3 linked regions of the Stegostoma tigrinum genome follow. The main gene of each other region encodes a partner of the protein of the gene in region 3 in a complex. Links are inferred from orthologs where the notes say so. Each region holds a gene or a part of one and is shown on either strand. Other genes may lie near its edges. The genes, in order: taf13, kat2a and taf12.

Region 1 (3,753 bases), on a different chromosome or scaffold from region 3:
AAATGATTGGCTTTTTCAGCTTTAATTTTAAACCAATCCCACTGTTCCCCATCACTTTCTTAACACAGCAATTCAACACCACTTCAAATCCCTACTTCCACATTCATTACTACATGTGCCTTCCCAGGGATTGGTTCATTATAATCCACGCTTTCATCCTTAATTTGAAAAATAAAAATGTTTTCAAAACTGGAAAACAGGGGAAAGGCAAGTAATATTCAGGGCATCATTCTGGATGGAACTATATGCATATGCAAGAAATGTGAAAATGGGACAAGTTTGTCACAAACTGTGAAAATATTAAAAATCAAGTCAATCTTGAAAACTCAACACAACTTGTTCACAGATAATAAAATGTGAGGCTGGATGAACACAGCAGGCCAAGCAGCATCTCAGGAGCACAAAAGCTGACGTTTCGGGCCTAGACCCTTCATCAGAGAGGGGGATGGGGGGAGGGAACTGGAATAAATAGGGAGAGAGGGGGAGGCGGACCGAAGATGGAGAGTAAAGAAGATAGGTGGAGAGGGTGTAGGTGGGGAGGTAGGGAGGGGATAGGTCAGTCCAGGGAAGACGGACAGGTCAAGGAGGTGGGATGAGGTTAGTAGGTAGCTGGGGGTGCGGCTTGGGGTGGGAGGAAGGGATGGGTGAGAGGAAGAACCGGTTAGGGAGGCAGAGACAGGTTGGACTGGTTTTGGGATGCAGTGGGTGGGAGGGAAGAGCTGGGCTGGTTGTGTGGTGCAGTGGGGGGAGGGGATGAACTGGGCTGGTTTAGGGATGCAGTGGGGGAAGGGGAGATTTTGAAACTGGTGAAGTCCACATTGATACCATATGGCTGCAGGGTTCCCAGGCGGAATATGAGTTGCTGTTCCTGCAACCTTCGGGTGGCATCATTGTGGCAGTGCAGGAGGCCCATGATGGACATGTCATCAAGAGAATGGGAGGGGGAGTGGAAATGGTTCGCGACTGGGAGGTGCAGTTGTTTGTGGCGAACTGAGCGGAGGTGTTCTGCAAAGCGGTCCCCAAGCCTCCGCTTGGTTTCCCCAATGTAGAGAAAGCCGCTCCTGAGATGCTGCTTGGCCTGCTGTGTTCATCCAGCCTCACATTTTATTATCTTGGAATCTCCAGCATCTGCAGTTCCCATTATCTCTCACAACTTGTTCACAGTCCAACCAGCCGCCAGCCTCTCTCAAAGCACAGCATGAATCAAGACATAACTGACATAATCATAGGATTGAGCCTCCTCCTCTGTATCCAAGTATAATTAATCCTAGAAATCAAGACCAAGCAAACTAATTCAACCTCCTGGCCATGACTGCTCCTAATGTAAGCAATGATACAAATCACTTGAATGTGTTCATGCATCCTCCTGAGAAATACATACTTGAAATGTACAAATTGAAGGTGGCTTCAGAAAATGTGTGAAATGCATATTTACATGTAACAATTTTATGAAATGTAAATAGAACAACGCAAGTTTGAATGTCAATTTTAACTACGTGACAAGAATAAATCAAATTTAAAAACCTGAGATTCTTCATGTACCTCCACATGTTACCCTCATAGCAGCTGCAGAGGATATAGATCTGTCACACATTTCCTGCTGGAATGTGCCTATTCAAAGGAAGTCTGGAGAAAGATGCAGTGATTTTTGTCGCGGTTTGTCCTGAGCAGCTCTGTGACACAGGACTCTGTGCTCTATGATCTGTTCCTAAGGATGCATGGACTGCACCTGGAGGATCATAAATTTGGTGAAAAACACTTTGGTCTGCCGGAAACTTGTTGGTCTTCCAGAAAAAGGAGTTGATCCTGACTGAGTGCTCCAGATAGGCATATTCCGAGGTACAGGTCTACATGCTGAGGGATGCACTAAAGCTTTGGGACAGCTGCCACCAAGGCATCGTTTAGGGTCTTTCTGCCAAAGTTAAATGGAGGTCTGTTCAACCATCAGACCCTCTCGATGCTTCAAATATATGTAAATGTGATCTTGATCAAGTAAGAAAGGCCTTTGGTTTGTTTGCTGGATAGAGTCAAACTTCCACGTTTGTTTGCTTTTTCATATGGTCTCTACAGAATTGAACTGCCATAGGAGCTGCAGGTGTATATAAAGATATTTTATAAATAAAGTATATTTTTTAAATAAATAAAACACAGACTGCAGTAGTTCAAGAAAGTGTTTGATAACCAGCTTCTCAAATCAATCAGGGGTGGGCAATAATGACACCCACGCTATGATTTTTTAAAAATCCACTATTATAACCCTAATTTCTCCACACCTCATACCTTTCACACAGCACATACTCTGTTACTCAAAACAAGTAACAAAAAAATGAAAAATGCCACGGAAGCTGGGAATCTGAAAGTTACAGAAACAGAAAACGTAAGAACAAAATACTGAAGAAACTCAGCAGGCCTAGCACACCTTGTTTTCTCAGATTCTCCAGCATCTGCAGTTCCTATCATCACAGAAAAGTAGGGTCGTTTGCAGCTCCCGATTTTTAATTGTTTTGCTGATTTCAGACTATGGCTGCTGAAATTAGCAAATAGCTCAGTGTCACCGTCATTCAGGGCGTTTCGTTGCTGCTGCTGGCGGCAAGAGACATCGATCCGAGCCGTGAACATGCTGAAAGAGAGTGAAGTTCAAGAGCCAGACTCACCGGCTGCTCGTCCTCCTCGTCCGCCATCTTACTCGGAGACAGATCTCAGTCCATTCAACCATACGTCACCAGCCCGCGCGCAAAGCCGAGCAACTGTTACGGATAATGTTGAGGGGTTTCCAGAGAGACGTCCGCGTCACCAGCCACACGTGGTGGGTGTGGAGCAGGAAAGCTGACGTTTCAGGCCTAAACCCTTAATCAGAAAAGGAGTTTTGGCGCGAAACATCATCTTTCCTGCCCATAAGATGCTTCTTGGCCTGCTGTGTTCATTCAGCTCCACACCTTGTTATCACGGATTCACCAGCATCTGGAGTCCCTATTATCATCTTTACCCGTATTTATTTTTAAAGTTTTCCTTAAGACAGATAAAATGGCACAGATGCCAAATCGAAAGACTTTGTTTAAATATAGAAGTACATTCAATCTCAAGCCATGTCTTGTTCAAAACCAAATAGAATGCTCAATCTATTTTAACATTATGTTTAATCCCTCATCCTGAATCACTTAGTTTCTTGAATGCAACTGGGTGCATTTCAGAGGGCAACAAAAAGTCAACCGCAGAATCAGAATTGTATTGGTACAGAAAAATGCTGTTTGGACTGTTGTTTGCACCAGCTCTTAAAATGGGCATCATGACTCATTTTTCTACACTTTCCACATCACCTGCATGTCGTTTCTTGACTGCCTCTATTGAACCTGTCTCTGCCATAGACGATGAACTCCCAACCTGAACTACACAGTAAGTTTTTTTTTCCATATTGTGTTTACTTCTTTTACAAATGATTTTAACTCTGTGCCCCTCATTCTTTGTCCTTTAGAGTGTTACTTTGAGATAGTGAGAACTACAGATGCTGGAGTCATAGATAACACAGTGTGAAGCTGGAGAAAGACAGTAGGCCAGACAGCATCAGTGGAGCAGGAAAGTTGATGTTTCAGGTCAGGAAATTTCTGAAGGAGGGTCCCAACCCAAAATATCAACTTTCCTGCACCTCTGCTGCTGCCTAGCCTGCTGTGTTCCTCTAGCTGCACATTGTGTTGTCTATTTCCATGTTACTCTGACCACATTGCTTGTGATTTTGAAAACTTCATTAATCTCCTT
Region 2 (3,753 bases), on a different chromosome or scaffold from region 3:
GGCTTCCCCTTAATTTTAAAGCCAACTGCTCAACAACATCTCAATACTAGAAATGGTTTCTTAAGACTATTCATACATTATTAGTAACTACTATGAACATATTTCAAAGGTGAAATTCTTCTCAGAATTTAAGGTTGTAATTCTGAGAGTAAAGCTCTTGCAATGTCTAATGTTTCAGAGCTGAATTTTCCTATGCCTTCGGACATACACAGCTATTTCCTCTAGATTTGGGTTCAGGTGATTGATGCGATAAAAACACACTACTAACTGTTTAAGTACAAGTGGAAAGAGTATCACCTTCGCACTTGAAGCTACTCGATCAAACCATATATATTGTACACAATAAATGTTACAGAACTTAAAGTAATAATTCAATATAAAAGTACTATTTTTGTTCAGGTTTACTCGGCAGATGTGATTAATAGTTCACAAAGACAATAAGGAGTTTAGTAGGCGTATTCATCACAGCTGACCAGGGTAAATCCATTCTGCACACGCAGTTTTTTTCAAAATGCAAGTAAAGGGCAGTGATTGTGTCTTTTTTTCAACAGAAATATAGTTAAAACAAACGTGTCGCATATCAGGGCTTTAGGGTACAACTATTTCCAGAAAGAAAACAAAATGCAGACGCTGAAATCAGAAACAAAAACCGAAATTGCTGGAAAAATTCAGGTCTGGTAGCATCAAGTCCAGTTCTGAAGAAGGGTCACTGCGTCTCTCAACTGCCCTACTAATTTGGATCAATGTCAATCCTTTGAACTTGTCAAATCACAAGTTCATAGAGACTTGTTTTTAAATTTTGGTTCATGACCATTTTCGTTGTCTTCAAAAAGAAAATCCGATATGATCTCCCAAGCCTTTCTTCAATACATTAGGGCATATTACCATCTCCTATACTTTTTTCCTGTTCCAGGTCTCTCTCTGATCACTCTCATTCCATTCCTCACTGGCTCTCTTGCTGATCAGCTCTGCTCCCTTCTCAAGCCAATTGTGGGTGCTCACATTCTGGTTCACCTTTAGGATATTCTTAGACTGCTCTTATAAAATTCTGCTAAACACTTTCATTTCCATTATTCTTCCACTAAATTTTTCAGTGGCCCTGTTTCACTCAAAAGAACAGTAAGATAGAAGCAATGTTATTGTACCAGGAATCCAGAAACTTGGACTAACGCAGTGGTGATACAATTTCAAATGCCACCATAGCAACTGGGGGAAATTTAACATCTCATTAATAATGCTCATGAAGCTGCTCTCTAGATCACTCTGGCCTTTCCTTACCCATTTTGTTCACACTTAACTCCAAATCCACAGTAATGTAAAAGGTCACAAACATGAAGTGGTACCTGTTTTTCTCTCCAAAGATGCTGGCTGACCTGCCAGGATTCACAGCACTTTCTGTTTTTAACTCCTCTCTGTTTACTCATGCAAGGTTAAATTTGACAGCATTTGCCCCTCAGTCATTTTTCAAAATTCACATGGATCCATCACCCCCAAGCTCCTTGGTTTTATTTAACAGTAGATGCACTCTGCTTTTCCAACCGTCATTGTACTCTTGTCCCAAACTATTTAAGGAACTCTATTACATTGGTTTTCTTACTACAGAGTCTTAAAGTCTCAACTGCCCATTATATCCCTACCTCACTTTTTGCAAATTCCTCCTCCCATTACTTCTACTCCATACGGTACTCTCAAAGCGGACACTTGAAGCATTTAACTAAACAGTGTGATTTATGAGTTTAGAAGAGTGCGATTTGATTGCTTCAGAAGTGTTATTTATTAGAAGTTAAAAATTGAAAGGTACAGTATTTCTAAGGTGCTTTGTCGGTGCTTTGTCTATTCAACAAGGGGCGTTGCAGTGACTGAAAGACTCTGGACCATATCGCTACGTTAACATCAATTTGCACTCCTGTCAATTTTCGGATAGCAGCCCGACAGATTATCCACAACTCTCAGTTTGGGTTGTCCTAGACAATGTGTGTGCAGAGTTATTGATGACAAGGCAGAAGGGGTATGCAGGAAAAATGAGGTGCTTTTCATTCTAAACATTTCAATTCCAGAAAAGATCGTGTGCTGCCCAGTTTGGCGCTGAGAGAGAGAAAAAGTGACCCGGTCTCACCCTGAGAGAGTCAGGCGGGGATTGTGACCCTGCTCGGGGAGCCCCCGGTCACCTCCCTCAGTCGCCCTGCCCTTACCTTGCAGGCTGAGAAGACGCCGAGTTTCTCCAGCTTCTTGGCCCGGGGGAAAGCGCGAACCTGGGCCTTGCGCTGAACCGAGCGCTGCTGATTGCTGCTAGCGCCGGGACGGGCCGGATCGGCCGGGCTCGAAGTAGCGGGAGAAGGCGAGGCCGCAGCCTGGAGCTGGGCCTGGCACGGGGTCGGATAGGGCGCTTGAGCCCGGGCCTGCGACGTTTGGGATGCCTCCGCCATCACCTACGAGAATGCCCCACCACCACTCCCCGCCCTCTCTTCACCCGCTGCCATGGCAACCAGCCAGGCCGGCATTGCGCAGGCGCGACACGGGATGCACCCTGGGAACTGTAGTCCACTTTCTCACAAAAATTACCATAAAAATAAAATTAGTCTAGCATATATCAAATCGAAATATATATAGGAAGGTCTTCATAGGGGGATCTGGGTGAAAAATAATAACTTTACATGTAAACCCAGACGAGGCATCATGGGAGTTGTAGTTTTTGCTGCCGCGTTGTTATGTAAACGCATGCGCATCGTTATCATTTGGAGCCGATACTGTTGAAGCTTCAATGAGACCGTGAGGTGTTTAGATTGAAAATCATGAGGGCTAAGGTGAGTGGAGGTGTGTGGGTTAGTAAAAATCGATAAAATATCTTAATTCACAAGAAATTAAAAACGAGAGTAAGTGGTTATTATTTTGTGTAGAAGGTGTTCTTTCCTTTTATTCCCCCGTCGTGTCTGTGTGGGAGGCCGCGACCATGCCGTTAGGGGGTGGGGCTAGGCCTTTGGCGCTTCTGCCGTCACTTTTATATTCGGTAATGAGGATGTAACTAAATCATCACATATTTGGGGGAAAGAGGGATATTTAAAGGATTAATGCCACGAAGGAGGACAGTGATTCATGCCTTAATACTGATGCTGGCATCTTGAATGTAAAGGGTAAATCAAATTTGGACTTCTCATTGAGTCTTCTGAGAGATGTTTCTTGATATCATCAGCCTTTTCCCCATGGCCCTTGATTCCGTCACGGATTAGAAATCTATCTCAGCCTTGAATATCTGTAATGACCTACCCTTCTGTTGTAAAGAATTCCACAGATGCATTGCCCTTTTGAGAGAAAAATATCCAACCAATCTTGTCTTCAATGGGTGACCCAGTTACTCTGAGACTATATGATTATGGTCCTAGATTATCCCACAAGGTCAAACAACCATTCTACAGCTACCATGTCAAGTCTGATAAGAATCTTATATGTTACACTAAGATTTAACAAATGTTGTTGGGTATGACCATTCTCCTTTTTCCTCCTTGTGTTCATTGGTGGGCGATGCTTGCGGTTGTAGAGATTATTCTCTTGGTTGGCCCCCCCCATCTGCTCAACACAGAAACACTAGATGTTAGACTTAAAGAATGAACTGTTGTCATTAAAACATTCAGTTGAAATTGTGTGTAACTGGTGAAGCTGAAAATCAGTATAGAGAATATTATTTAAGGTGTGAATTCTTTTAAGTCACGTAGGAGTTTATGCTGTGATGTGCTAAGAGAGGTTTAAGCATAGGGC
Region 3 (3,753 bases):
CAATAATCATAGAATGGAGGTAGCAGCATTTGACACACAAGATTTCATCCAAAAAATGCTTAATTGTTTACCTAACCATGGTGAACCATGAAGCTCTCAGTGCATTTTACCGAGTTCAAGTGGTACTTTATAATCATTTGAGTATTCAGCATTTGTTTATTTTGAATTGTTAACGGGCGTAATTTATGTGCAGGCAAGAGCCTATGTGAGAGATAGCGAGTGAAGAGGCAGAGCACACTCTACTTCCCTCTCTCTTTGGGCCTGGGAAACAGCTATGGAGTCACAGTTGTACAGTATGGCAACAGACCCTTTGGTTCAACTCATCCATGCTGACCAGATATCTTAAATTAATCTAGTCCCATTTGCCCTGCATTTGGGTCACATCCCTCTAACCTTTCCTGTTCATATACCCATCCAGTTGCCTTTTAAACACTAACTCACTACTTTGGCAGCTCATTTCCACATTTGCACCACCCGCTGTGTGAAAATGTTACCCCTTTGGTCCCGTTTATATCTTTTGCCTTAAACCTATTCCCTCCAGTTTTGGACTCCCCTACCCTTGGAAAAAGACCTTCACTATTCACCCTATCCAAGCCCTTTGTGATTTTATAAACTATGGGCCTACATAAGAATACAGTGTATAACTGAGGGCAGCGCAAACTCAGGTTCTCTCTCTCTCTCTCTCTCTCTGGGCAGGTGTGAGTGTGTACCAGTGAGAGATTGTGCACACATGGAATGAGTTGAACAAGTGTAAACAAGGCAGTGCAAACTGCACTTCTCTCTCTGGAGAAGGGTCATTGGACTCAAACCTAACTGTTTTCTCCCTACAGATGCTGCAAGATCTGCTGAGTTTCTCCATCAATTTGTTTTATAGTGTGTTTCTGTGTGAGAGACCGTGCGCAAATAAGAAACCAGGGACAGAAAAGACACTTTTTTCCACCCCCCCTCTCTCTCCAGGCCTATGCATGCAACGGAGGCATAGGGAAAGTCTGAAAAAAATCAAAGTGAATCCAGCTGCACGATGGATCCTGCTTTTCTCTCCATCCCTCCCTAGGCCAATGACTGAGTTAATGAGAGACTCTGAGCAAGAGATCGGGGACAATGCAGACTATTTCTCACTCTTGGGGCCTGCACGTGAGAGAGAGACACACACACACACCAGGGGCTTCTCTCTCTCTGCAGGCTCTGAGTCTGTGTATAAACCAGGGGCTGTTCAGTCCCATTGCTGCCTCTCTGATCCCTTATCCATGTACCTGTCTGAAAATTGGTGTCCGAGAGTAAGTATGTCTATGAAAGACAGAATGTGAGAGTTAGAGACTGTACAGGGTCTGCGTGGATCTCATTTCTCTCTGGGCCAGTGAGTTAGACCAGGCAAGGGGTCTCCTCTCTCTCCGGACTTCAGCGATCCTCTGTGTCTGCAAGAAAACAGAAGCAGCACAGACCCTATCTTTTTTCTCTCTGTCCCACTCAACGCCTGAGGGACAGATCAGGAACTCCTCTCTCATTCCCTCTCTAGACAGAGCAAGTCTGTATGTGCCTGTCTGGGACAATGCTGACCGATTTCGTTCTGTCCCTTTCGACCTCAGTGGGAGACCAAAGATTCTGCTGTCCCTGTTTCCCGGTTTGAGTGTGCACGCGCCTCTCTCTCTGTCTGCCTGGGCCTGCGTGAGTGTCTCCGGGACACGTGAGAGTGTCTGTCTCTGCCTGGGCCCGTGAGAGTGAGTAACCGGGCCCTCTCTCTCTGCTTGGGCCTGTGTAAGTGTGTAACTGGGGCATGCGTGAGTGTCTCTCTCTCTCTCTCTGCCTGGGTCTGTGAGAGAGTGTAACCAGGGCATATGTGAGTGTCTCTCTCTCTCTGTCTGCCTGGGCCTGTGTGTGTGTGTAACTGGGGTGTGTGAGTGTGTCTCTCTCTCTCCTTCCCTCTGCTTGGGCCTGTGTGAGAGTAACCAAGGCATGTGCGAGTGTCTGTCTGTCTGTCTCTCTCTCTCTCTGCCTGGGCCTGTGTAAGTGTGTAACTGGGGCATGTGTGAGTGTCTCCCTCTCTGTCTGCCTGGGCCTGTGAGTGTGTGCCTATCTCTCTCTGCCTGAGCCTGTGTGAGAGTGTAACGGGGATGTGTGTGTGTGTGTGTGTGTGTGTGTGTGTGTGTGTGTGTGTGTGTCTCGGTGTCTGTCCGGGCCTGTGTAGGCCGCAGCTATAGGATCCTCTATACAAACTGGATGTAAATATCCCGCTTCCCCGCCCCTTCTTCCTCCTCCTCCTCCTCCTCCTCCTCCTCCTCCTCCCAGGAACGAAGCACGGTGAAGCCGAGTGGATCGATCACTCACCCAGGCAGGCAGCCGCGCCGCCTCAGCACCGGCGCCCTCCGAGCCGCGCCCCCGTCATAACGAGCACTCAGCAGCGGCCGCTCATAGGGAACCCGGAAACAATCAGCTCTGAGCCCTGACCCCTGACCCCTTACCTTCAGGTACCGACCCAACACAAAAAGAAAACACAAACAAACTTCAAAAAAACACATCAGCGCGATAGTTCGTAAAATAATTCGCTACGAGATTTTTCGACCCTCGGATGCTTTTATTTCCAGTTGTCTTCCACGAGGGAATGCGCACGCGCACGACTTCCGAAGATCTCGCGTGCTGACGGTTGGCGGTTAAGTGGGTGCTGTTGTTAGGGCCAGTTGTTGGGGGCTGTTGCCAGGCAACCCTGCGAGCTGTCAATCAACCCCTGGAGCATCGACTAGGCAACGGCCCCAGTCCCATTTGGATGGGCGAGGAAAGAACTACATTTCTATGTCGCCCTTCATGTCCCAAACGCTATAAATAGACTGCCTCTCTAGTCTGAGGCGTTTAAGAGGGCCTTGGATGGTTTATGTTGATCAGAATAGCGTACAAGGGTCTGGGGGAGAAGGGCGGAGATTTGACACTAGCTAATGACGGTTGTGAAGGGCTAGTGCAAGTAGGACGGGCCAAAGGGCCCCCTTCTACACATCTGTGATTCTTTTGAATAACATATTGGCCAGGGGGAGGGGGTAAGCACATTAATGGGGAGAGGATGCTGCTAGCTAGGCCAGCATTTATTGTCCGTCTCTAACTGCCCAGAGGGCAGTAAACAGTCACATTGCTTTGGGTCTGGAGTCACATGTAGACCAGCCCAGGTCAGGATGGTAGCTTCCTTCTGTAAAGGACATCAGTGAAGCAGATTGATTTTTCCAACATTCGACAATGAATGATAACTCCAGATTTTTTGTTGGCTTCAAATTCCACCACTTGCTGTGGCAGCATTCAAACTTGGGTCCCCAGAACATTACCTGGATCTCTGGATAAACAGTCCAGCAAAAACACCACGAGGCCACTGCCTCCCTTCTTCATTGCAGTAGCTGTGGGATCTTTCGTATCCACTTGAGAGGGTAGACAGTGGTATATGCTTTGATGTGTCCACCAGTATGTTTGAGTATATATTCACTGCCACCAATACTCCTTCATCTAAGACACACACGGTCCAAGGCAGGAAGGTAGCTCACAATTAGTCTTTGGCAGAAGAGATTAGACAGTCTTGATAAAAAGAGCTTGTTTATTACACCGTTATTAACAGCTGCTTACATTACATCTAAGATAAGAGATTCTTTCGTGACACATGAGAGTAAGTACATACTATTGTTTTGTGATGCAAAACTTAGTACTGAACTTGCAACCGATAACTTGCAGTTTAAGCTTGTCAGCACCTCAAAGGAGCAGTCCTTCAAGTCCTAATGGATG

Evidence for each region.
Region 1: taf12 (region 3) and taf13 share a complex: the UniProt entries of both Homo sapiens proteins name them as parts of the TFIID basal transcription factor complex. The link is inferred for Stegostoma tigrinum from reciprocal best matches to the Homo sapiens genes TAF12 and TAF13.
Region 2: taf12 (region 3) and kat2a share a complex: the UniProt entries of both Homo sapiens proteins name them as parts of the STAGA transcription coactivator-HAT complex. The link is inferred for Stegostoma tigrinum from reciprocal best matches to the Homo sapiens genes TAF12 and KAT2A.

Annotation. Positions count from the first base shown.
Region 1 is NC_081365.1:35,350,419-35,354,171, forward strand, and holds the start of taf13 (transcription initiation factor TFIID subunit 13), read right to left. Parts: upstream 2,787-3,753; 5' UTR 2,682-2,786; coding exon 2,655-2,681; intron 1-2,654. UniProt on the Homo sapiens protein: The TFIID basal transcription factor complex plays a major role in the initiation of RNA polymerase II (Pol II)-dependent transcription.
Region 2 is NC_081384.1:13,605,340-13,609,092, forward strand, and holds the start of kat2a (histone acetyltransferase KAT2A), read right to left. Parts: upstream 2,477-3,753; 5' UTR 2,427-2,476; coding exon 2,193-2,426; intron 1-2,192. UniProt on the Homo sapiens protein: Protein lysine acyltransferase that can act as a acetyltransferase, glutaryltransferase, succinyltransferase or malonyltransferase, depending on the context.
Region 3 is NC_081377.1:40,948,660-40,952,412, reverse strand, and holds the start of taf12 (transcription initiation factor TFIID subunit 12), read right to left. Parts: upstream 2,440-3,753; 5' UTR 2,326-2,439; intron 1-2,325. UniProt on the Homo sapiens protein: The TFIID basal transcription factor complex plays a major role in the initiation of RNA polymerase II (Pol II)-dependent transcription.